Linked DNA regions of Pelodiscus sinensis. The protein of the gene in region 2 purifies or fractionates together with the protein of the main gene of each other region. This does not show direct contact. Links are inferred from orthologs where the notes say so. Each region holds a gene or a part of one and is shown on either strand. Other genes may lie near its edges.

What was found.
Region 1: the proteins of DCAF6 (region 2) and TNNC2 purify together in Homo sapiens (affinity purification with mass spectrometry; 3 studies listed by BioGRID and IntAct, with this or other methods). This does not show direct contact. The link is inferred for Pelodiscus sinensis from reciprocal best matches to the Homo sapiens genes DCAF6 and TNNC2.

What each region holds. Positions count from the first base shown.
Region 1 is NW_027465936.1:210,479-222,159, forward strand, and holds TNNC2 (troponin C, skeletal muscle), read left to right. Parts: upstream 1-6,320; 5' UTR 6,321-6,429; coding exon 6,430-6,432; intron 6,433-7,600; coding exon 7,601-7,655; intron 7,656-7,875; coding exon 7,876-8,019; intron 8,020-10,367; coding exon 10,368-10,482; intron 10,483-10,769; coding exon 10,770-11,103; 3' UTR 11,104-11,118; downstream 11,119-11,681. Other genes in the region: SNX21 (sorting nexin-21), read right to left, coding at 1-380, 635-792, 990-1,223, 1,446-1,581. UniProt on the Homo sapiens protein: Troponin is the central regulatory protein of striated muscle contraction. Tn consists of three components: Tn-I which is the inhibitor of actomyosin ATPase, Tn-T which contains the binding site for tropomyosin and Tn-C.
Region 2 is NC_134711.1:161,385,628-161,396,334, forward strand, and holds the start of DCAF6 (DDB1- and CUL4-associated factor 6), read right to left. Parts: upstream 5,032-10,707; 5' UTR 4,874-5,031; coding exon 4,780-4,873; intron 4,560-4,779; exon of another isoform or gene 4,416-4,559; intron 1-4,415. Other genes in the region: MPC2 (mitochondrial pyruvate carrier 2), read left to right, coding at 5,603-5,708. UniProt on the Homo sapiens protein: Ligand-dependent coactivator of nuclear receptors. Enhance transcriptional activity of the nuclear receptors NR3C1 and AR. May function as a substrate receptor for CUL4-DDB1 E3 ubiquitin-protein ligase complex.

The DNA.
Region 1 (11,681 bases), on a different chromosome or scaffold from region 2:
CCGGCGCCCAGCTTGTCCTGGAGCCGGCAGGCGTTGCTCCAGGCGGCCAGGGCCTCGCGGTACATGCCGGTGCAGGTGAGGCGCTGCGCTGCCTGCAGCTCGCGCAGGAAGAAGAACTCCTGGAAGGCGGCGGAGCGGCGGATCTCGGCGATGGAGTGCAGGTGGGACAGGAACTGCTCGAAGGCCCGGCTCCGCTTGGCGATGGTTTCGGCCGTGAAGTTCCTGCGCAGCCGCTTCCTGGGGAAGGCGACGCCTGCCATGTCGCAGGCAAAGTGGCGGCGCAGGCGCCGGTTCAGCCGCTCCAAGTCCGAGTAGCGGCGGGCAATGGCGGCAGGGGCCTTGTCAAACTGGCCGGAGCGGATCAGGTAGATGGTGTAGAGCTGGGGGGAGAGCAGGGCGTGAGGGCGCCGCACCACTGCGCACGCCTCGCCTCTCGCCGGGTGCCCACGCTGGGCCAAGGGGACAGGCTCCCTCGGGGCAGGGCTGGGGCACAGCAAGCACCTGGCAGCAAGTTACCTGAGGCTCGTCTGAGCCGCCGGCGCCATCCGCAGCACAGGAGAGAGAGAAAAGCGTCAGCTCAGGGCCCCAACCCAACACGGCCCACGGGGGGCTTGGCAGCCAGCCCCTCACTCACCACGTATTTGGAGGAGCGCTCGCTGACCACGCTGGCGCTGGTGACCTCGAAGAGCAGCCGCTGGGGAGCCAGGGTGCCACGCGACCTCCTCCACAAGTCCTGGAGCTGGCGGGTCAGCAGGTGGCTGCCCGGGCGCTCAGCCGGAGAGGGGCTCGGAGCTGCACCGGAGACAAGCCCGGCCGTCACCCGCCAGGCCGTGCCAGGGAGGGGGAACAGGCCAGGCCCCCGCCCCTTGTTCCAGCCCTGTCACCCGTGGGACCTGGGGGCTCCCCCCCCCCCATCTCCCGGCCCCACTGGGTCCTTGGGCCTCTTGCATGGGGCTGTCTAGAGCATCGCCCCGCGCCTGCCGGCTCACCCAGCCCCCCCAGCTCCTGGGCGGCCGCCTCCTCCTCCTCCTGCTCCTGCTCCGCCTCCTCCTCCGGGCCGCTGCTGAAGCTGAGGGTGCCGCTGAGTCGCGTGGAGAGCCCCTCGGTGTCGTCCTCCAGCTCGGAGCTCTCCGGGAACTCCTCCGCCTCCGCGCCGGGCCGGCCGGGCGCCGCCCCCGCCAGGGCGTCCCGCAGGCGGTGCAGCAGGCGGGCGGCCATGGGCGCTGCGGAGGGAGCGAGAAGCGGGGCTGAGCGAGCGGGCGGTGCCTGGGAGACGGCGCTTGCCCCGGGGGCGGGGGAGGACAGAGCGGGGGGGGGGCACTAAGGCACCTGCCGGGGGGGGGGGGGGGTTGCTGCAAACTTGCCGGGCAAGGCGGCCACAGCTGGGACCCCCCTCCGGGCGGGGGGAGGGGCAGCTGGGGGCCGGGCCCCCCCGCGTTGCTCACCGAGGCCGGAGCCGCGATCCAGGCTGCGATGGCCGCTCAGTCGCGGCTCCTCCTTGGATCCTCCCTGCCGCGGCTCCGCCTCCGCCCGGGAACCCGGATCCTGCCCGGCCGGGGGCTCGCCGAGCCACAGCGGCATTCCCGGCGCGCAGGGCGCCTTATCTAGAGCCGCCGCCCAATCCGGAGTCACTCCTGAGCCACAGGGCGGCACCCACCCCTCTCCCACTCTGGAGTAGCCGGGCCTGCTCCTGCCTCCCCCGACTAATCTGGACTCAATCCGGATCGACTCCCAGTTGTGTGGCTGCCCAATCAGGAGTCTGCTTTGGTCCAGTAGGGTTCAGGATCTGGCTCCAGCAGCCCCAGGGGCGATTTGCCCGCCCCTACCCCCGATCAGACAGAGCAGGGGGCTGGTTGTGTGAGGTACACTGGTGTCCTGGGGCCGGGCTCGCCTCTCGCGCCGGTTCTGGGGCCCCCAGGCCCTCGTGGCCTGTCCGGAGCGGCTGGCTCCCTGGGGCTCGGCGTCTCTCCAGACTGGGACGCAGGCCCCGCCTGGGCTCCCTGCCCAGCTCTGCCCCCAGCTGCTTCCCAGCCTTATTTAGAGAGATGCGCCCACTCCCTCCTTGCAGCGTCTTAGGCATGTCTATTAATACCGGCCCCAGCCCAGCTGCGCCCGTCAGTCGGAGCCGGCCCCCCGCCCCCCGGCTCTGCTCCCTCGCCCCGGGCCGGGTGGGAGGCTCTGCCCCGAGACACCACCTGCCCCACACCCCAGAAGCACTGCTGGCTTGATGGGGCAGCAGACCCACCTTGCCCGCCCATAAAGAGACCAGGCCTCCGCAGGGTGGCAGCGCCTGGCATGGCGGGGGGGGGGGGCTTCCAATCCCAGCCCGAGAAACGCCCTGTCCCACGCCTGGCATGGCGGGGGGGGGGGGGGCTTCCAATCCCAGCCCGAGAAACGCCCTGTCCCACGCCTGGCATGGCGGGGGGGGGCCTCCAATCCCAGCCCAAGAAACGCCCCGTCCCACGCCTGGCATGGCGGGGGGGCCTCCAATCCCAGCCCGAGAAACGCCCTGTCCCACGCCTGGCATGGCGGGGGGGCCTCCAATCCCAGCCCGAGAAACGCCCTGTCCCACGCCTGGCATGGCGGGGGGGCCTCCAATCCCAGCCCGAGAAACGCCCTGTCCCACGCCTGGCATGGCGGGGGGGCCTCCAATCCCAGCCCGAGAAACGCCCTGTCCCACGCCTGGCATGGCGGGGGGGGGCCTCCAATCCCAGCCCGAGAAACGCCCTGTCCCACGCCTGGCATGGCGGGGGGGGCCTCCAATCCCAGCCCGAGAAACGCCCTGTCCCACGCCTGGCATGGCGGGGGGGGGCCTCCAATCCCAGCCCGAGAAACGCCCTGTCCCACGCCTGGCATGGCGGGGGGGGGCCTCCAATCCCAGCCCGAGAAACGCCCCGTCCCACGCCTGGCATGGCGGGGGGGCCTCCAATCCCAGCCCAAGAAACGCCCCGTCCCACGCCTGGCATGGCGGGGGGGGGCCTCCAATCCCAGCCCGAGAAACGCCCTGTCCCACGCCTGGCATGGCGGGGGGGGGGCCTCCAATCCCAGCCCGAGAAACGCCCCGTCCCACGCCTGGCATGGCGGGGGGGCCTCCAATCCCAGCCCGAGAAACGCCCTGTCCCACGCCTGGCATGGCGGGGGGGGGGCCTCCAATCCCAGCCCGAGAAACGCCCTGTCCCACGCCTGGCATGGCGGGGGGGCCTCCAATCCCAGCCCGAGAAACGCCCTGTCCCACGCCTGGCATGGCGGGGGGGGGCCTCCAATCCCAGCCCGAGAAACGCCCCGTCCCACGCCTGGCATGGCGGGGGGGGGGCCTCCAATCCCAGCCCGAGAACGCCCCGTCCCACGCCTGGCATGGCGGGGGGGGGCCTCCAATCCCAGCCCGAGAAACGCCCCGTCCCACGCCTGGCATGGCGGGGGGGGGCCTCCAATCCCAGCCCGAGAAACGCCCCGTCCCACGCCTGGCATGGCGGGGGGGGGCCTCCAATCCCAGCCCGAGAAACGCCCCGTCCCACGCCTGGCATGGCGGGGGGGCCTCCAATCCCAGCCCGAAGAAACGCCCCGTCCACGCCTGGCATGGCGGGGGGGCCTCCAATCCCAGCCCGAGAAACGCCCCGTCCCACGCCTGGCATGGCGGGGGGGGGGCCTCCAATCCCAGCCCGAGAAACGCCCTGTCCCACGCCTGGCATGGCGGGGGGGGGGCCTCCAATCCCAGCCCGAGAAACGCCCCGTCCCACGGCCTTGCATGGCGGGGGGGGGCCTTCCAATCCCAGCCCGAGAAACGCCCCGGTCCCACGCCTGGCATGGCGGGGGGGCCTCCAATCCCAGCCCGAGAAACGCCCCGTCCACGCCTGGCATGGCGGGGGTGGGGGGGCCTCCAATCCCAGCCCGAGAAACGCCCCGTCCCACGCCTGGCATGGCGGGGGGGGGGCCTCCAATCCCAGCCTGAGAAACGCCCCGTCCCACGCCTGGCATGGCGGGGGGGGGGCCTCCATCCCAGCCCGAGAAACGCCCCGTCCCACGCCTGGCATGGCGGGGGTGGCCTCCAATCCCAGCCCGAGAAACGCCCCGTCCCACGCCTGGCATGGCGGGGGGGGGCCTCCAATCCCAGCCTGAGAAACGCCCCGTCCCACGCCTGGCATGGCGGGGGGGGCCTCCAATCCCAGCCCGAGAAACGCCCCGTCCCACGCCTGGCATGGCGGGGGGGGCCTCCAATCCCAGCCTGAGAAACCCCGTCCCACGCCTGGCATGGCGGGGGGGGGGGCCTCCAATCCCAGCCCGAGAAACGCCCCGTCCCACGCCTGGCATGGCGGGGGGGCCTCCAATCCCAGCCCGAGAAACGCCCCGTCCCACGCCTGGCATGGCGGGGGGGGGCCTCCAATCCCAGCCGAGAAACGCCCCGTCCCACGCCTGGCATGGCGGGGGGGGCCTCCAATCCCAGCCCGAGAAACGCCCCGTCCCACGCCTGGCATGGCGGGGGGGGGCCTCCAATCCCAGCCGAGAAACGCCCCGTCCCACGCCTGGCATGGCGGGGGGGGGCCTCCAATCCCAGCCCGAGAACGCCCCGTCCCACGCCTGGCATGGCGGGGGGGGCCTCCAATCCCAGCCCGAGAACGCCCCGTCCCACGCCTGGCATGGCGGGGGGGCCTCCAATCCCAGCCCGAGAAACGCCACGGTCCCACGCCTGGCAGGGATCAAAGCCGGTTTCCGGGCAGGACGCAGGTTGATTTACACGGATGCAGCAGGAAATCGGGAGCCCTGTGCCCTCCCCAGGGACTCGGCGTGTGCTGGGGGGGCCAGGGGAAGGAGCACCCTGTGCCCAGAGCAACACGCTTGTTGGTGCCCAAAGCATCACCCCAATGGGCACGGTCCTGAGCAGCCAGCACGGCCCCCTTGTGCCACGTCTCCTCCGTGGCTGTAGGCATGGCCAGCGCGGGCAGCCAGTCCCATAGGCCCCAGGGTGGGAGGGACTGTCCCTTGGCTGTCGCCGGGTCCACACGTGCTTTCCTGGGCCCCAGACGGGTGGGAACCAGATCCCCATGTAAACAAGAGAGCGGGGGCGGGGCGAGCGCCGGGGGCGCAGGGCAGCCTGACTCCATGCAGGGCGAGGCTCCCGGCTCCCTCCGGCCCTGCTCCCGCGCCCGTGCTGTGCCCCCCAGGCAGGCCAGGGTTGGCCATGCAGGTCCCCGGTGACCGAGGCGATCCGGGCCAGACACAAGCCTAACCCCCGCAGTCCCATGGCCACCACCTCCGCTCCTTGGCCAGAGCCCTGGGCACCTGATGCTGCGACGGTCTCCCTGGGCTGGGCAGAGCCTTGCAGCAGGGCTAGTGCCCAGCCGTACCCAGTGCGAGGCAGGCGTCGGGCCAGCCCCCTGGCGCCGAGCTGCTCCCCTCGCCTCTGCATTCCAGGCTTCCCAGAGCAGGCCCTCCGGCCCCCCCTTGCCCCCCAGGCGCTCCCGGCCTGGGCTTGCAGAGCAGGCTTGGCCGGCCTGCTCCTTGCCCTCCCGGCTGGAGGCGTCTTCACTTGCAGTGGGATGTTTGGAGGACACACCGGGCCATGGGGCGGGGCACAGGAGGCAGGGAAGGAGCCACGGGGCCGAGGGTGCGGTGGGACGGGGAAAGACAGAGCGACCCAGGGACAGCCGAGTCCCGGGCCAGAGGGTTGGAAGCAAGGCTCAAACCCCAGCGTCCCGCAGCTGGAGTCGGCAGGGCCCCCCGGCATCTGGGAAGAGGGGTAAAGGGACCAGCCCCACGTGGCACCCGGCTGGGAGGGGAGCCGGCCACAGGGCAGTGGCACTGGCTGGAGGAGGGCCGGGCCAGGGCAGAGCGTGAGAACGGCTGCTACCGCTGCTCACGGGTCCCTCAGCTGCCAGCACAAACTCGAGACGTTCTCGGCCGGGGAGGCGGGTGCTTGCCCCATCCAGCCTCCCGCCGCCGTCCGCCACCCCCGGGGCCTGCCCAGCCGGGGGCATGGACGTCCCTCCCCGCCATGCTGAAGGCAATAGGCCAGAGCCCCCAGCCGTGGGTTTTCCTTGCAGCTGGCCCTGGCCCCGGCCAGCAACTGGCTCTGGCCGGAGCCTCTTGCTGCGGCAGCCCCGGCAGGTGCTGGAGGGAGGCGCTGCGTCTCCTGCGCCCCGCGGGGTTGAATTTCCTGCCCTGCTCTTAATCCCCCTGGCTCGGCCAATAAAGTGTTTGCTAAATTAGGTAAAATGGCCCGGCCGCCAATCAGGGGCCAAGGGCCGACAGGAGGCAGCTGATAGGCTGCGGGAGAGCGGCGCCCGGCGAGGCCCAATGGCGCGGTGCTGGGGGGGCAGCGGGCGGGTCGAGGACGGTACAAATTGGGGGGCCAGGGGTGGAGGGGGAGCTCCTGGGGCTGGTGGTTGCGGGCGGCGGTGACTGGTCTGGGAGGTGCTGCGAGAGCCTGTCAGCATGGTGAGCCTGGGGGGGTGCTGGGCGGGAGGGGTGTGGGTGCGAGGAGGTGGCCAGCCCGGCGGGTGCAGCAGGGCGAAGGTTGGGGTCGTGAGGCGGGGCTGCCGGTGGGTGCTGGTGACAGGCTGAGCACAGAGCGGCTCCGGCTCCGGCTCCGGGTGCTGGCGGGGTGGAGGCACCGGGCTGGCGGAGGCCAAGGAGGCCAGGCCCCGGGGGCGGGAGTTGGGGCATTTAGAAAAATCGGCGATTTGCAGAACGTCCCATCATGCCCCTGCCCGGAACGATGCTGCCCCTGGGGTGGGCAATGGGGCAGGTGCAAAGGGGGCTGGGGGCTGCCCCCATCTCACTCGGCCGGCAGGGGAGTCCAAGGCAGCCCTGGGCCAGCATCCCCAGGCGTTTGGGAGTCATGTTCCCGGGGGGGGGGGGGGGGAGGCCATGGTGCTGGAGGGGGCAGGCAGTGCTGGTGCTGGGGGGGGCAGGCGGCCATGTTGCCCGGGAGGGGGCAGGAGCAGCGCTGGGCGCAGCAGGGCCGGACTCAGCAGGCTGCCGTAAGCTGAGCTCCGGGTCATAAGACACCGTCTGTGGCCCACAAGCCGCCAGCTGCCTGGGCCTGCCCTCAAGGAGTAATTCAATCCCAGCCCGGCAGGTGTGTGGGCTGGGCCTGGCCTCCTGCTGCCCCCCTACAAGGGCCGAGTCTGGGCTAAGAATAGCCCCCGCCCAGGCCCGGCAACGCCCCGCAGGCAGCCCGGCCCTGCGGCCCCCAGTCCCGAGGGCAGGGCTAGACGCAGCCGCACGAGGGCTCGGGGGGGGGGGACGGGCAGGGCCCCCAGTGCCGCATGCCCTACTGCTCTAGGGGAGCGCTGATGGGTGGCGTGAATCCGGTGAAACGCGCAGCCTGGCCCGTGCCCCGCCCCAGGCCACGGGACGCCTGTGGCCCACGCTGGGTGCTGGCCAGGGTGGCAGGTGCTCTGGGGAGGCCCCAGCGGCGTGGCCCTGCCCTCGGGTGCCCAGGTGGTGCTGGGGTGTCGCCGTGCTCGGCTCCGGGGGCTGCGCGACTCGGGCCCCGCCGCACTGCGCCCGCTGCAGAGCGGAGCCGGAGCCGGAGCTGGAGCCGGAGCCCAGACGCCGCAGGGCCGGGCCCCACTGAGCCGCTCTTCCGGTTGCCTTGCAGACGACGGACCAGCAGGCGGAGGCGCGGTCCTTCCTCTCCGAGGAGATGATCGCAGGTGAGTGAGACCCCGCCCCTCTGGGCTCGGGGGAGGGGGAATAAGAGCTACTGGGGGGCTCCCACAAGTTGCCCTGCTTGCCAAGGGGAGAGGGCAGCAGACGGGACCCTCTGGGCCCGCCCCAGGGGCCGATCCGGCAGGCGGGCCGAGGGGCAGGGGGCCGAGGCTGCTGAGAGGCCGGTGCCTGGGGCAAAGCCCCCGCTGACGCTCTGCCCGGCAGAGTTCAAGGCCGCCTTCGACATGTTTGACGCGGACGGCGGCGGGGACATCAGCACCAAGGAGCTGGGCACCGTGATGCGCATGCTGGGGCAGACGCCCACCAAGGAGGAGCTGGACGCCATCATCGAGGAAGTGGACGAGGATGGTGAGCGCAGCACGGTGGCACGCTGGGGGGGGGGGCTGGCGCACGGTGGCACGCTGAGGGGGGGGCTGGCGCACGGTGGCACGCTGAGGGGGGGGCTGGCGCACGGTGGCACACTGGGGGGGCTGGCGCACGGTGGCACGCTGAGGGGGGGGCTGGCGCACGGTGGCACACTGGGGGGGGCTGGCGCAACGGTGGCACGCTGCGGGGGGGCTGGCGCACGGTGGCACGCTGGGGAGGGCTGGCGCAACGGTGGCACGCTGAGGGGGGGGCTGGCGCACGGTGGCACACTGGGGAGGGCTGGCGCACGGTGGCACGCTGAGGGGGGGCTGGCGCACGGTGGCACACTGGGGGGGGGCTGGCGCACGGTGGGACGCTGAGGGGGGGGCTGGCGCACGGTGGCACGCTGAGGGGGGGCTGGCGCACGGTGGCACGCTGTGGGGGGGCTGGCGCACGGTGGCACGCTGGGGGGGGGCTGGCGCACGGTGGGACGCTGAGGGGGGGCTGGCGCACGGTGGCACGCTGAGGGGGGGCTGGCACACGGTGGGACGCTGAGGGGGGGGCTGGCGCACGGTGGCACGCTGCGGGGGGGGCTGGCGCACGGTGGCACGCTGTGGGGGGGCTGGCGCTACGGTGGCACGCTGAGGGGGGGCTGGCGCACGGTGGCACACTGGGGGGGGCTGGCGCACGGTGGGACGCTGAGGGGGGGCTGGCGCACGGTGGCACGCTGAGGGGGGGCTGGCGCACGGTGGCACGCTGTGGGGGGGCTGGCGCACGGTGGCACGCTGGGGGGGGGCTGGCGCACGGTGGGACGCTGAGGGGGGGCTGGCGCACGGTGGCACGCTGAGGGGGGGCTGGCGCACGGTGGCACGCTGCGGGGAGGGCTGGCGCACGGTGGCACGCCTGCGGGGGGGCTGGCGCACGGTGGCACGCTGCGGGGGGGCTGGCGCACGGTGGCACGCTGCGGGGAGGGCTGGCGCACGGTGGCACGCTGCGGGGGGGCTGGCGCACGGTGGCACGCTGCGGGGAGGGCTGGCGCACGGTGGCACGCTGCGGGGGGGCTGGCGCACGGTGGCACGCTGCGGGGGGCTGGCGCACGGTGGCACACTGGGGGGGCTGGCGCACGGTGGCACGCTGCGGGGGGGCTGGCGCACAGTGGCACGCTGCGGGGGGGCTGGGCGCACGGTGGCACGCTGCGGGGAGGGCTGGCGCACGGTGGCACGCTGTGGGGGGGCTGGCGCACGGTGGCACGCTGCGGGGAGGGCTGGCGCACGGTGGCACACTGGGGGGGCTGGCGCACGGTGGCACGCTGCGGGGGGGCTGGCGCACAGTGGCACGCTGCGGGGGGGCTGGCGCACGGTGGCACGCTGCGGGGAGGGCTGGCGCACGGTGGCACGCTGTGGGGGGGCTGGCGCACGGTGGCACGCTGCGGGAGGGCTGGCGCACGGTGGCACACTGGGGGGCTGGGGCACGGTGGCACGCTGCGGGGGGGCTGGGGCACGGTGGCACACTGGGGGGGCTGGCGCACGGTGGCACGCTGAGGGGGGACTGGCGCACGGTGGCACACTGGGGGGGGGACTGGCGCACGGTGGCACGCTGCGGGGGGGGCTGGCGCACGGTGGCACGCTGCGGGGGGGGCTGGCGCACGGTGGCACACTGGGGGGGCTGGCGCACGGTGGCACGCTGAGGGGGGACTGGCGCACGGTGGCACGGTGCGGGGGGGGGCTGGCGCACGGTGGCACGCTGCGGGGGGGGGCTGGCGCACGGTGGCACGCTGCGGGGGGGCTGGCGCACGGTGGCACGCTGCGGGGGGGCTGCCGCACGGTGGCACGCTGCGGGGGGGGCAGGCGCACGGTGGCACACTGGGGGGGGCTGGCGCACGGTGGCACGCTGCGGGGGGGGCTGCCGCACGGTGGCACGCTGTGGGAGGGGCTGGCGCACGGTGGCACGCTGCGGGGGGGGCTGGCGCACGGTGGCACGCTGCGGGGGGGCTGGCGCACGGTGGCACGCTGCGGAGGGGCTGGCGCACGGTGGCACGCTGCGGGGGGGCTGGCGCACGGTGGCACACTGGGGGGGGCTGGCGCATGGTGGCACACTGGGGGGGCTGGCGCATGGTGGCACGCTGCGGGGGGGCTGCCACACGGTGGCACGCTGCGGGGGGGGCTGGCGCACGGTGGCACGCTGCGGGGGGGGCTGGCGCACGGTGGCACGCTGCGGGGGGGCTGCCGCACGGTGGCACACTGGGGGGGACTGGCGCACGGTGGCACGCTGCGGGGGGGCTGGCGCACGGTGGCACACTGGGGGGGACTGGCATTGGCATCCTGGCCCTCAGGGCTGGCTGCTTCCCGCAGGCAGCGGCACCATCGACTTCGAGGAGTTCCTGGTGATGATGGTGCGGCAGATGAAGGAGGATGCGAAGGGCAAGTCGGAGGAGGAGCTGGCCGAGTGTTTCCGCATCTTCGACAAGTGAGTGGGTGCAGCCCGGGCCCCACCGCCCGCTCTGAGCATCTCCCCCAGCACGGGGTGGGGGGCGCGGATACCAGTTCGGGGGGTCACATCCCTGCCAACCTGCTCTGAGCCCCCCCAGACTGCAGGCCCGGTGCCCAGGCTGCCCCCCCCATGGGCACAGGCCTGTCACGAGGGCACTGCCTCCCTCAGCCCAGGTCGCGCTGCTGCAGGCCGGGCTCCTGCCAGGGCAAGGCCAGGGTGCCCCGCGGGCCCTGCTGCCCCGGCTCAGGCTGACGCCTCCCCAGGAACGCGGACGGGTACATCGACGCCGAGGAGCTGACCGAGATCTTCCGCGCCTCCGGGGAGCACGTGACCGAGGAGGAGATCGAGGAGCTCATGAAAGACGGGGACAAGAACAACGACGGACGCATCGACTTCGATGGTGAGCGCCAGGGCCGCTCCCCCCGTGCCAAGCTCTCGGAGCCCCCTTCCGAACCACTGGGCTGGGGCAGGGAGGCGCCACCCCCGGTCCAGCGGGGTCACGGCTGGGTGCCTGGGCCAGGGACCCTGCTAGCTCAGTGCGGGGAAAGGAGGGGTGTCTGTGAGCGGCATGGCCAGCACCCCCAACCCAGCCCCTGAGCGCTCAGCCCCCTCCCTGGCCCCCCAACCCAGCCCCTGAGCGCTCAGCCCCCTCCCTGGCCCCCCAACCCAGCCCCCTCCCTAGCCCCCCAACCCAGCCCCTGAGCTCTCAGCCCCCTCCCTGGCCCCCCAACCCAGCCCCCTTCCTGGCCCCCCAACCCAGCCCCTGAGCGCTCAGCCCCCTCCCTGGCCCCCCAACCCAGCCCCTGAGCGCTCAGCCCCCTCCCTGGCCCCCCAACCCAGCCCCTGAGCGCTCAGCCCCCTCCCTGGCCCCCCAACCCAGCCCCCTCCCTAGCCCCCCAACCCAGCCCCTGAGCTCTCAGCCCCCTCCCTGGCCCCCCAACCCAGCCCCCTTCCTGGCCCCCCAACCCAGCCCCTGAGCGCTCAGCCCCCTCCCTGGCCCCCCAACCCAGCCCCTGAGCGCTCAGCCCCCTCCCTGGCCCCCCAACCCAGCCCCTGAGCGCTCAGCCCCCTCCCTGGCCCCCCAACCCAGCCCCCTCCCTAGCCCCCCAACCCAGCCCCTGAGCTCTCAGCCCCCTCCCTGGCCCCCCAACCCAGCCCCCTTCCTGGCCCCCCAA
Region 2 (10,707 bases):
TGGATATACCAGGAAACTAGGATGTGCTTTGAATGGGATTGCACCTCATAAAAATCCTAGAGAAGAGAGACAATTACTAGGCAGGTGAAAGGGGCTGCCCTCCCCCTCCATCCAAGACAGTCCATCTACTTCCACCAAAGCGCCCACCAGAGGGGGGGGCACTGAAGCTCCCCCACCCCCAAGTCATACAGGAACATTGCTGGCTGTTCCCCATCATGGAGCAGGGAAAGTGCACAATTTGCTGCATTCCTCACTCTGGCTTGAAAGAGCAGGAGACAGATGAACCTGGACCCGACCCAGCCATGGGATATGCCTCTCTCCCCCAGCTGTGTTCAGTGGAGCTGCAGTGGCCATGGAGAGGTGCTTCTAACTTCGCTCCAAGCTGCTGCCCTGATAGAGGGCTGGGTGTCCTCTCTCTCTCTCTCTGGGGACAGCCTGCATATTGAACCCCTCACCTCTAGAGCAATGATTTTAATAAAACATATATATTTTCATTTTATTTTCCAAAAAAATTGAAATGAATTGTATTAAGGACCAAAGAAATGCCAGGTAAATTTTCTAGTGTTAATATTAGGAATGTTAGGCAGTGTGTAATTGAATAGTCATGTAACTGCATCAAATTTTATCGATTACATGACTATTCAATAGTCCCTGGAGGGGGGGGGCCAGCAGCCAGCGTGCTTCCGGCCCCACTTCCAGGGACAGATCTGTCCATTGGGAGCTCGGCCCCCCGCCGACAAGGGCTGCTGCCACAGAGCAGCTCCTGTCCACAGCGAGCTGAGGCCCACCAGACAAAGATTGCTTTGTAGTAGTTTCCCCTGGGTCCCTCCCCACTGCTGCCTCTGACACAGAGGCAGCAAGCGGGGGTAGAATTGTATGTAGTTGGCAGGATTAACAGGTAAAACCAGGCTTATTGGTTAATTGTAAAGTCATCTGCACACTGACATCCCTAATTATCACATAAATAAAAGACCCACCACACTATATACATATTATACACACACATATCTTCCTCACACCACGTTATCACCAACAGATTGGGTAATATATTAACAATGGGCTCCTGGAAGAGGATGGAGGGAACTGGATGAACTCTTTCTGTTTGGACTGTTTACCCAAAACGGTTTCAACGGATTAAAAAAAAATCCACCCTACATTTATGCCTGATGCCTCAAAATGATATTACTATACAGACAACAAGTCAAAGTGTATGGCATTTAAAAGCAACAACAGCAGCAGCAAAACAAAACCAAAAAAAGTGTACAAGCTCTATCTGAGTTCTATCAGAATGGTAGACTAGGTGACCAGGGTGATCTTCTAATCCTTAGAAGATTACAGAGACTTTTACCTCTAATTCAGTCTGCATCACTATGGACCAATAATCATTTTGCCATCTGCTAACTGTCTGGCCATAACCTGCATGAAATGAATTTGTGGTCTCATTCCAGTGTCCTGTTGAGCGAGTGCCTACATATGACCATAGAGGAGACCTATATGTACCTGACTGAATGTATACCGCTGTAAATAGCAGATATATCCTTTCAATTAAGATCAGTTTCAGCAGAGACCAAACGGTGACTGCAACATAAAAATTACCATATTATTAAACAAGAATATATTTTTTGGTACAAGACCAAGCAAGTACATCAATGACTTAAAGGAGTTAAAAAATAAATTGTATTAAAGTAACATTCTGGATACAATTCAAATATGTCCTGGTCCACAATAGTTCTGAATGCCAGTTAAGGTTTGTACTTCTTCGGAGCAGTTTATATTCACTCTGCAGTATGGACTGAATAACTTAGAACCAGAAGCCTGCTAGCAAAATTACACAGGCTTGGCATCTCACTGAAATATGGACTGTTACCATAAACTTATCAATCTCTTATTTAATTAGAAACTGTTAGTCTTTAATCTTTCCACCAAATTGCCCCCATTCTCTCTTCAAACTGGGGCACTGTTGTTAATCTAGACCTTTACAACCATCAAATCATCTGAGCATTCAAGTTCTGTTACTACATCTATCCACTAGAGCAGTGATCACCAACCTGTAGATCGGGATCTACTAGTAGATCTTTGGAGTCTCTGACAGGTGATCCTGACTGGTTTGGCTGGGAGGCTATCAAGTCCCTGCACATCAGCTGCCCTTCCCATCACTGCCCTGCTGCTCCTGCACAGAGCCTCAGAGCAGTCCTCTGGGAGCCTCTTGCTTGTTGTGCAGAGTGGGGGAAACAGGCAGGAAGGCACTGATGTCACTGTCTCCCTCCCCTGTATCCCATCTTCACAGAGTGAGGAGGGTGGGGCCTCGGCAAAGGGGTGGGACAGAGGTATTTGGGTCTGAGGTAGATCCTGGACTGACAAATTGAAAAAGTGATCTTGTGCTTAAAGATTGGAGACCACTGCAGTAGAGTATCCCAGCTGATTATGATAGAAATATAGCCATGTTACTCTGGTGTAGCTGAAACCAAAAACAGGACTATGTAGCTCTTTAAAGACTAACAAGATGGTTTATTAGATTATGAGCTTTCGTGGGCCAGACATATGTGTGTTCATTTTTTAAACTGTATCCTTTGGTATATATGTATGGCTGTGACAATTTTCTTCCACTATTTGATATGAGGAAATGGGTCTGGCCCACGAAAGGTCATCTTTAAAGTGCTACATAGTCCTGTTTTTTGTTCCCGCTGATTATAGTTGTCAAGGTGTGACAAGTGGAGAAAGTCAAAAATATTAAGGACGAACTAGCTCAAACACCACCTTAAATTTCACTGAAAAATCAACTGAAAGCCAAAGCAGATCACATATGGAAGCAGGAGGAATACAAAAAATCTTCACAAAAAGAAATCATACTTTTAGCATTGATTCTTTGGTTTAAAAAGTCACAGGTGTATAGGTAAAATTTCACTCCAGTGACCTTACTGCACCCAGTTTAAATAAATACTATATTACTATTCTAGTAGAACCTAGAGGCCCTAAAAGAGATTGGAGGCGTACAGCATGAGGCAATACACCAGGCCTGGGCAAAATACAGCCCACTGGCCAGATGCGGCCCATCAAGCCACCAGGTCAGCCCTCTGGATGCAGCGGGGACCCACAGGCAGGATCCTCTGCTTGCCTACAGTACCGCATGCCACTCAGAAAAGTGACTGCAGGGCCATTTCTCTTTCAAAACTGATCTGGAAGAGGAGAGGCACAAGGCTTCAGGTGCTGCCACCCTGCACCCGGAACAAACCCATTGTCCAGTTTCTGACCAGAACCTGGACAATGGGAGCTGCCTGATTGAACAACAGGCAGCACACGAAGCCCCATGACCCTCTCCCCTCCAGCTTAGTTATTCACACAAGCACATGGCTCTGCAGGCTGTGCAGACACATGGTAGGCAGGCAGGCATGCTAGCTAATTGGCTGAGAAATGTTTTAAGTTCTGCATGCATTTAGCTCAGCAGGCTGGCTGGGCTGCTAGCTGGTAAGTCTCCTGGACAGAGCCTGCCTCTGACACTCTGCCCCTCCATTCAACATATCCAAGCCCTCTGCCCCCCTCCTGCACCCCAATCCCCTTAATCCTCCTACCCTAGGTCACAAACCAAACCCCTGTATCACAATCCCCTGCCTTAGGTCACAACTGCCTCCTTTACCCAAACTCCCTCTCTGACTCCACTCTCCCTCCTGCACCTCAGTCCCTTTCCCCAAACTCCCTTCTGCACCCAACCTCCACCCCAGACTCTGCACCTCCTCCATTAATATCATGGAAGAGTGCAACCCTCAACCACTTTCCAAAATCTTGGAATGGCCCCTCATCAAAAATTATTGCCCACCCCTGTACTACACAGAGAATACCTGTCCCATTTCAAAGATCCATAGGGAAAAATTACAAAACTTAACACAAATAAAGGCTTTACTCCCACCGTAAAATGTCAACAGTCCTTTTGGAGTAAAACATCAGTGTTGGAAACTTTAAACAGTAGTAGTATTTGGGTAATGTAGAAGTGCTAGAAAGTGAAACCAATCCATCTTAGTATCCAAGATGAATAAAATACAAACAGCAAACGCACAGCATTAATGGGTAAGCATTAAGTGGCATTTTAAAAACAGCTAGTTACGGATCCTGAGCTATTTTTAACACAAGTAAAAGAATGTTAAATAAACCGGTATTTTAAGATGACAGTTTCAAAAGTGCTCTATGGAGCACTGCCAGCTCAAGCAACGGGAAGAGACACAGCCTGCCCTGCGATAACAATCACAGGAGTGTCTCCTAAGTCCGATCCCTGAGCCACCTCGCAGCCCCGGGGCGCCGAGTGAGCACGCAACGCGTTTTGTCCCTGGGCTGAGACGCCCGTGGCTCGGGAAATGAAAGGCAGAGCTAAGCAGGCGGGACGGGCAGAGGCCGTTACGTTTCCACTCACTGACGCTTCCTACCATCGGTGCTAGAAGCCAGCCCCGGCTTGAAGTGGTTTCCATCGCACAGCGGGCTGACAGCTCTCAGCAGCACCCGCCCCGGGCCAGCTGCTCCAGCCTCCTCGCTCCCCGCCTCGGAAAACCCTCCAGGCCCCGGTGACCCACCGGGGAAGAAACTTTGCGGGGCCGGGGCGCGGCGCTGGCCGGCGGGGCAGGGACTGACCCAAGCCGTCCCATGGGGGGCGCGGCGGACACACAACCCCCCCCCCCCCCCCGCGGCTGTCGGGCAGCGCTCCGAGGGGGGGCGCAGCTGTCACTTTCGCCTGTGCCGCGCGAAACCCCCCCCCCTCCGAGCGAACGGCAACGCGCCCCTCCCCCCGCTCACCAAGGTAGTGTCTCCGCAGCAGACCGGGCTCCTCCAGCCCCAGGCTCCGCTTCCGCACGTCCCACAGCAGGTGCGGGCAGCACCCCCGGGACATGGCAACGCGGACGGGGAGTCGCTAGGGGGGGGGGGGGCTCGGGCTCAGACTCGGCGCCGGCGCCAGCCGCCCCCCGCGCTCACCATGGAGACCCGCTCGCTCGCGCGCACCCGCCTGCTGCCGAAGAACGAGCGGCCGCTCCACTCCCCTCCCCCCCCCATCTCACCCCGCCCCCTGACTCCTCCCCGACCCCGTTCGCAGCGCTCGAGACTTACACCTATCGCGGGAACGTCACTTTTGGTGGGTTCGGGCGGTGAAGGCTTGCAGCCGCCATCTTGGATTGGGGCACCGGAAAGCGCCTGCCCTTCCTTTGCCTTTCATCCGCGTCTGCCATCTTGGACCGGGCTCCGACGCGCTAAGGCAGCCATGTTTAGTTTGGGCAGAGACGGCGGCCAGAACGGACGGCGGTGGGGGGGGTGAAGGCTGTTCCCGCCCTTATCTGTCATGGCCGGAAAGAATTTTCTTTCTCAAATAAGACGTAGCGTCCGCTCTCTCCACGCAGGGCGGGGCGCTGGGGATGGGGGGGCGTAATAACCAATAGCGTTCGCCGAGCTGCTCGGCCACGCCCCCTCGCCTGCCAGCGGGCCAATGGGCGCGAAGTAAAGCGGGATCCTCCCCCCGCGAAGGGTGGCGCGCGCTAGGGGAGGCCGAAGGACGGCCGGTCGCGCCGGGGACGCCGGAGCAGCTGCTGTCACTGGGACCCAGCCCGGCCGCGCTCTCCCCTCCGAGATGGCCGCCGCCGCCGCGGGGTTCCGCGCCTCCTACCACCGCCTGCTGGACCGGATCGAGCTCAAGCTGCCGCCGCGGCTGCGGCCCCTGTACAACCACCCGGCAGGTAGCGGCTGCGGCCCCGGCGCCTGGGCCGGGGGGTGACAAGCGCTCGGGGCTGCCGGCCGGGCGCGCACCGCTCTCTGCCCGGGGCTGGCTGCGGGGTGGCAGGTCCTGGGTCTGAGGCGCTGGGCTCCCCCTGTCCCCGAGCTCCTGTCCCAGAGAGGGTGGGTCCGGGCCGGGCCGGGGCTCGCCGTGACCTTGGGCCGGTTGCCCCCTCTCTGCTCCCCGGCACCTGCTTCCTTCCCGGCACGAGCAGCCCTGCCAGACCCCGCGCCAGCCCTGGGACACAGGCACGGTGGCAGCCCCAGTGGACCAGGGCTTCCCCACCCACCACCTCGGGTTTATGGGGCGGGCAGATGTGGGGTTCCTAAATCCTCGCTTCTGAATGGTAAAATTCATGATGCTTTGCACTTCTCTAGGACGAGGCAGCTCAGAAAGGGCTTCAGAGAAAGTATCTGCCCTTAAGGAGAATTCGTCAGTGGGATGAGCTGTTGGAGGAGTTCAGATTCACCTGGATATTAGCTGCTTTCCGAGAGCATCACAAGGTCCTCTTTGGAATAGGGATATTCAGAAGCGGGTATTTCACTAATCATGTCAGTTCCAGCTCGCACCAGGTCCAGGAGCTACCCCTGCTGTGGCTCTGCAGTTTAAATGTAGTAGGAGCCAAACTGCCTGTCTCTTCACTATTTTTAAACTGCAGAACCACAGTGGTGGGGTCGGGGGGAGAGCTCCTGGACCCAATGCAAGCCAGGATTGAGCTGGGTTTGCACCAGGTCCAGCAGCCCCTGTCTGCTGGGGGTCCCAGTGTGGAGCTGGATCTCCTATGGACAGGGGCTGTTACTTTAGGTAGCAGTGTAGCGGAGGGGGCGGGCCACACAGTGGATATGGTACTGGGAGGAACTATCTTTCTAAGCCAACTGCCCCCAGCCAGGGCCAGCTCCTGGATGCACGACGCAACTTGCTAAGAGTGCTGGGATGTTTGTAATGGATCACTATACAATAGTATAAGGATCCTCTAATATCTTGTTGCTTTTCTGATCTTGACATGTACTTTGAAGTCTTAATTATCAGTAATAATAATTTCTGAAGAAACCCCAATGAATTTAAAAAAAACTTTGAGGCCAGGAATGTTGGACATTGGCTTGTCACTTAAAAATATACCACTGTGGGGTTGCTGTGGTGGCACTGGTATTTAGCATCAAACTGACAGTAACTAGTTTCTTTCTTTAATAGCTTGTTTCTACTTCTATCATTTTTAAGTTGGTATTTGAGCTAACTAACAGGTGTATTATGGGGAGAAGTATTGGGAAAATGATAATGAGCAGTATTATTGCTTAAACACAAATTAGCAAGTTTACTTTATTTATAGGAACATCCTGTAAACCAGGAGTGCAGGAACTTTTTGGCCTGATTTTGTAATGGAAATTCTGTGGAGAGCCATGAATGCTCACAAAATTAGGATTTGGGTGTAGGACAGGATGATGAATCTGGCTGAGGCTGGGGCCAGAAAAAAGGAGTTTAGGGTGCACAGGGGTGCTCTGGGCTGGGACTGAGGGGTTCAAAGGATGGAAAGGGGCTGTCAGCTGAGACAGGGAACTGGGGTGCACAGGAGGAGTTTGGGGTGCAGAAGGGTACTCGGATGGGATGGAGTGGTTCTGGAGGTGGGAGAGGTATCAGGACTTAGGCAAGGAATTGGAGTGTTGGGGGGGTCGAGGCTTTGCCTGGGTGGTGTAGACTCTGGGGTGAACTGGGGATAAGAAGTTTAGGAAGCAAGAATCTAAACTGGGAATCAATTTCCTTTCCTTTAAAAAAAAAACAAAACCCACTTGTGACCTCATTAATTGCAATGGGGTTTCTAGACATTTACAACATGTAAATATACAGTGTTGTTTCTGCCATTTTACAAATAGTAGTAACATATGGAGTAGTTGCATTGGCTGGTTCTAACTCATAAAAAAGAGATGATGCTGAGACAGGTCTGAAATTCTTAACCATAATCTTATTCAGATCAATGGAACTAAGAAAAGGGAAAAGAGAGAGGAGATATCTCCTATCTTCAAGTATAATCCATTTGAAAACAAAACTGCTGCTTGTCTTCATTTTCTTATCTATGAAATGAGCAACTTCTGCTCAACCTTTGGCTTTCCCTGTGTGCACCTTTTGAAACTAATGCTCTGTAGGTAAAGCAGCTCTAAAATAAAAGAAACCAGTGACATTTTAAAACACTACCTTTACCGTCTTTTTTTTTCCCTCTTGAAAAACTATTGTTAGTGCCTGGAGGGGCAGAAGGTAACAAATACTGTTCAATTATTCTCTTTGTAGATTTAGTCATTTATGCAATTCAAAGTAAAACTATTTTCCCAGCTGGCAAAACAAAGAAGTGAACACGTCATGTATATTCATGAATGGTGTACGCCACTGGAACTTTTTACATGAATCATGTGGATCTCTGTATTACCTTGCCTCACTCCAATCTTTTAGATTAGAGCCAGCAAGTGTCTGCAATTGATTGGCAGCAATTGTCCTGTTTAGTGTCCTTTTATGAGGAGAGGGGAGAAATGAGAAGAAAGGTCTTGAGACAGGAGAATTCAAAAAGATAAGTGAATCAATTATGTGCCTTGATGGCCTTAAGAAGAGACCTGTTTATCTACAATTTATGTCACAAATTCTGTGTACAAACATGGGAACAGGAATTTTTAGAAGTGCTGTGTTTGAGGAAAGAAGGTGACCAGCCATTCAAAATTAGTTCAGTTAACAATTCTCTCTCTTTAACAAGCATGAAAACATGCACTTTCATTTTCTTCAGTATTTTCCATTTGCTATCAAGGTAGATAATATTTAAAAGTGAATGATTACAGAACCATATAGGTGAATCTTCCATTTTAGAATCTGCTATGTAAATAGATTTCACAAGCTATCTGATGAAATGTAAAGTCTTCCCTGGACTGCCCTTTCTACTGTTTTTCTTTAATGCAATACATGTTCTTGAATTTTCATCAATCTAGAATGCGTTGTTGGGTATATCATGATTGTGCAGTAAGGAAATTTTAGCTTCTAGACCCCTGGTCATTTTTCTATAACAAAAGTCTTCTCTCAAAACAAAGATTGCACGGGTTTAACTAGAATCGGATCAAATAGTTTAGATTAATTTAAATCGGTGCAAACCCTTTTTACCAGTTTGAGCAAAGATGGTACAAAACTTTTCTTTTATATGAAGCTGACCAAAATTGAACCAATTGCAGTTGCTCATGTTTAATATATTAAGGTGCTGCAGTGTGATACTTCCTGGCATGTACATACACTATTAACTTACACTGTATTCCCAGTGTTAAAGATGGGAGGCTATATTATGTGGTTTCATACATTTGGCCTGTGACTTGAACTTTGGCCATTCTGTGCCGTGCCGTGCCTTGACTAAATGTCATAGTTGGAATTTCAAACTGTTAGAGTGATCCTGTTTCTAAAAGAAAAATGTCTTTGTCAAAAGAACAATTACCACATCATGTATAGGCAGCTTCAGCAAAGAGTTGGTGGGTATAGAAACTGAACTTCCTTCTTGTGCCCCTTCAATCTGTACCTGCTTTATGGATAGAGAGCTTCCGTATTCCAGGACTGTTGGGCACATTTCAACTAGAACAAAAGCCATTCAGTGGGAAAAGATACTTTTGTTTGCCCTAAAACGAAAGCTTTTAATGTCCTTAGCAAGGCCTACTTTGATGACCTACTTTGATAAGTGACTCTTTGCCTAGATTTTGAATTGTTTGTATCTAAGAGAAATCCCTTTACTTTGGCTTGGAAAACAGTTTGGGTGAAATACTTAAAAAAACACACACACACACACACCACCCTTGCATTTGCTGTTTTTCAAATTAATGAAGGTTACTAGAGGACAGTGAAAGATTCTGACAAATAGGAGATGTGAACCCAACTCCCCCACTTCCAATTGGCTGCTGCATAGTAGAAAACTAGTGTTAACAGCAGAGAGATGTGACTTGGCTTGTATTCAGTTACATGTGTTCACTGTTTAAGCTTCTTTAATTAGGGATGGATAGTCATATTTCAGTAACTGATTCATTAATGAAGCAGAATCCATCTCTTGGTTTGAGTTGTATGCTTCATCAGTGTACTCTGTGTTCCTTGTTAGGAGCAGGAAGCATATTTTCAAAATGTATTAAGATTATTATTTTGTATTACCCAGATTTATCCCTGGTGTAATAATAGTTATACTAGAGATGAATTAAGTCCAGCCAGTGTAGAGGTGTGTAAAATACGTCAAGGTTCATAAAGTGTTTTATTTTTATTATGAAAATCAAAATGCATGTGAAATCTATCAAACAGAAGACAAAGCTTTAGTCTGCTTTTTGTTGTCTTAACAAGACTTTGAAAACAGTTCTTTCCTTCCTCTTGAGTCTCTGAAACCAGCTTACTGACATTTTAAAACTCCATTAATAATTTATTAGGAGAGTTCTCAAGGATTTTATGAAAACCATTTTTTTTTTCAAGTATTAGTTTTAAAATTCCAATCAGATTCCTGTGCAATTTTTCCCCTTGGATGCTGGAGTGCTGTCTTATTTGATTTGTTACTGATAGGTCATTGCATTTACTGCAAGAACACTGAAATACTTTAAGAGGAAATTCATAGAAAATAATTAGACATCTGAATGCATGCATACATGTTTGGAAGCTTGCAGGTACGATCACAAATAGTAAACATAACTTGAACAAACATTTTTATGAATGTAGGTGTAAATCATAACCCATTGTAGCATAAATGAGCATGGAAATAATGTTTGTGAAAACCCCCACCGTAATCTGGAGGAAATAGGTACTGACCTTTATTGTTTGGAAGGATGCCATTGATGCTTGGGCAAGCATAAAAGAAAACATTTTAATTTGAAAGGGTTCTTGATTAAGATTGAGCCTACCAGCTGCTATCCTGGGTGGATGTAGGTCTGTGGCCTTCGCCTCAGACTGGTCTTCTCTTTCTTAAGGCTTTAGATTCT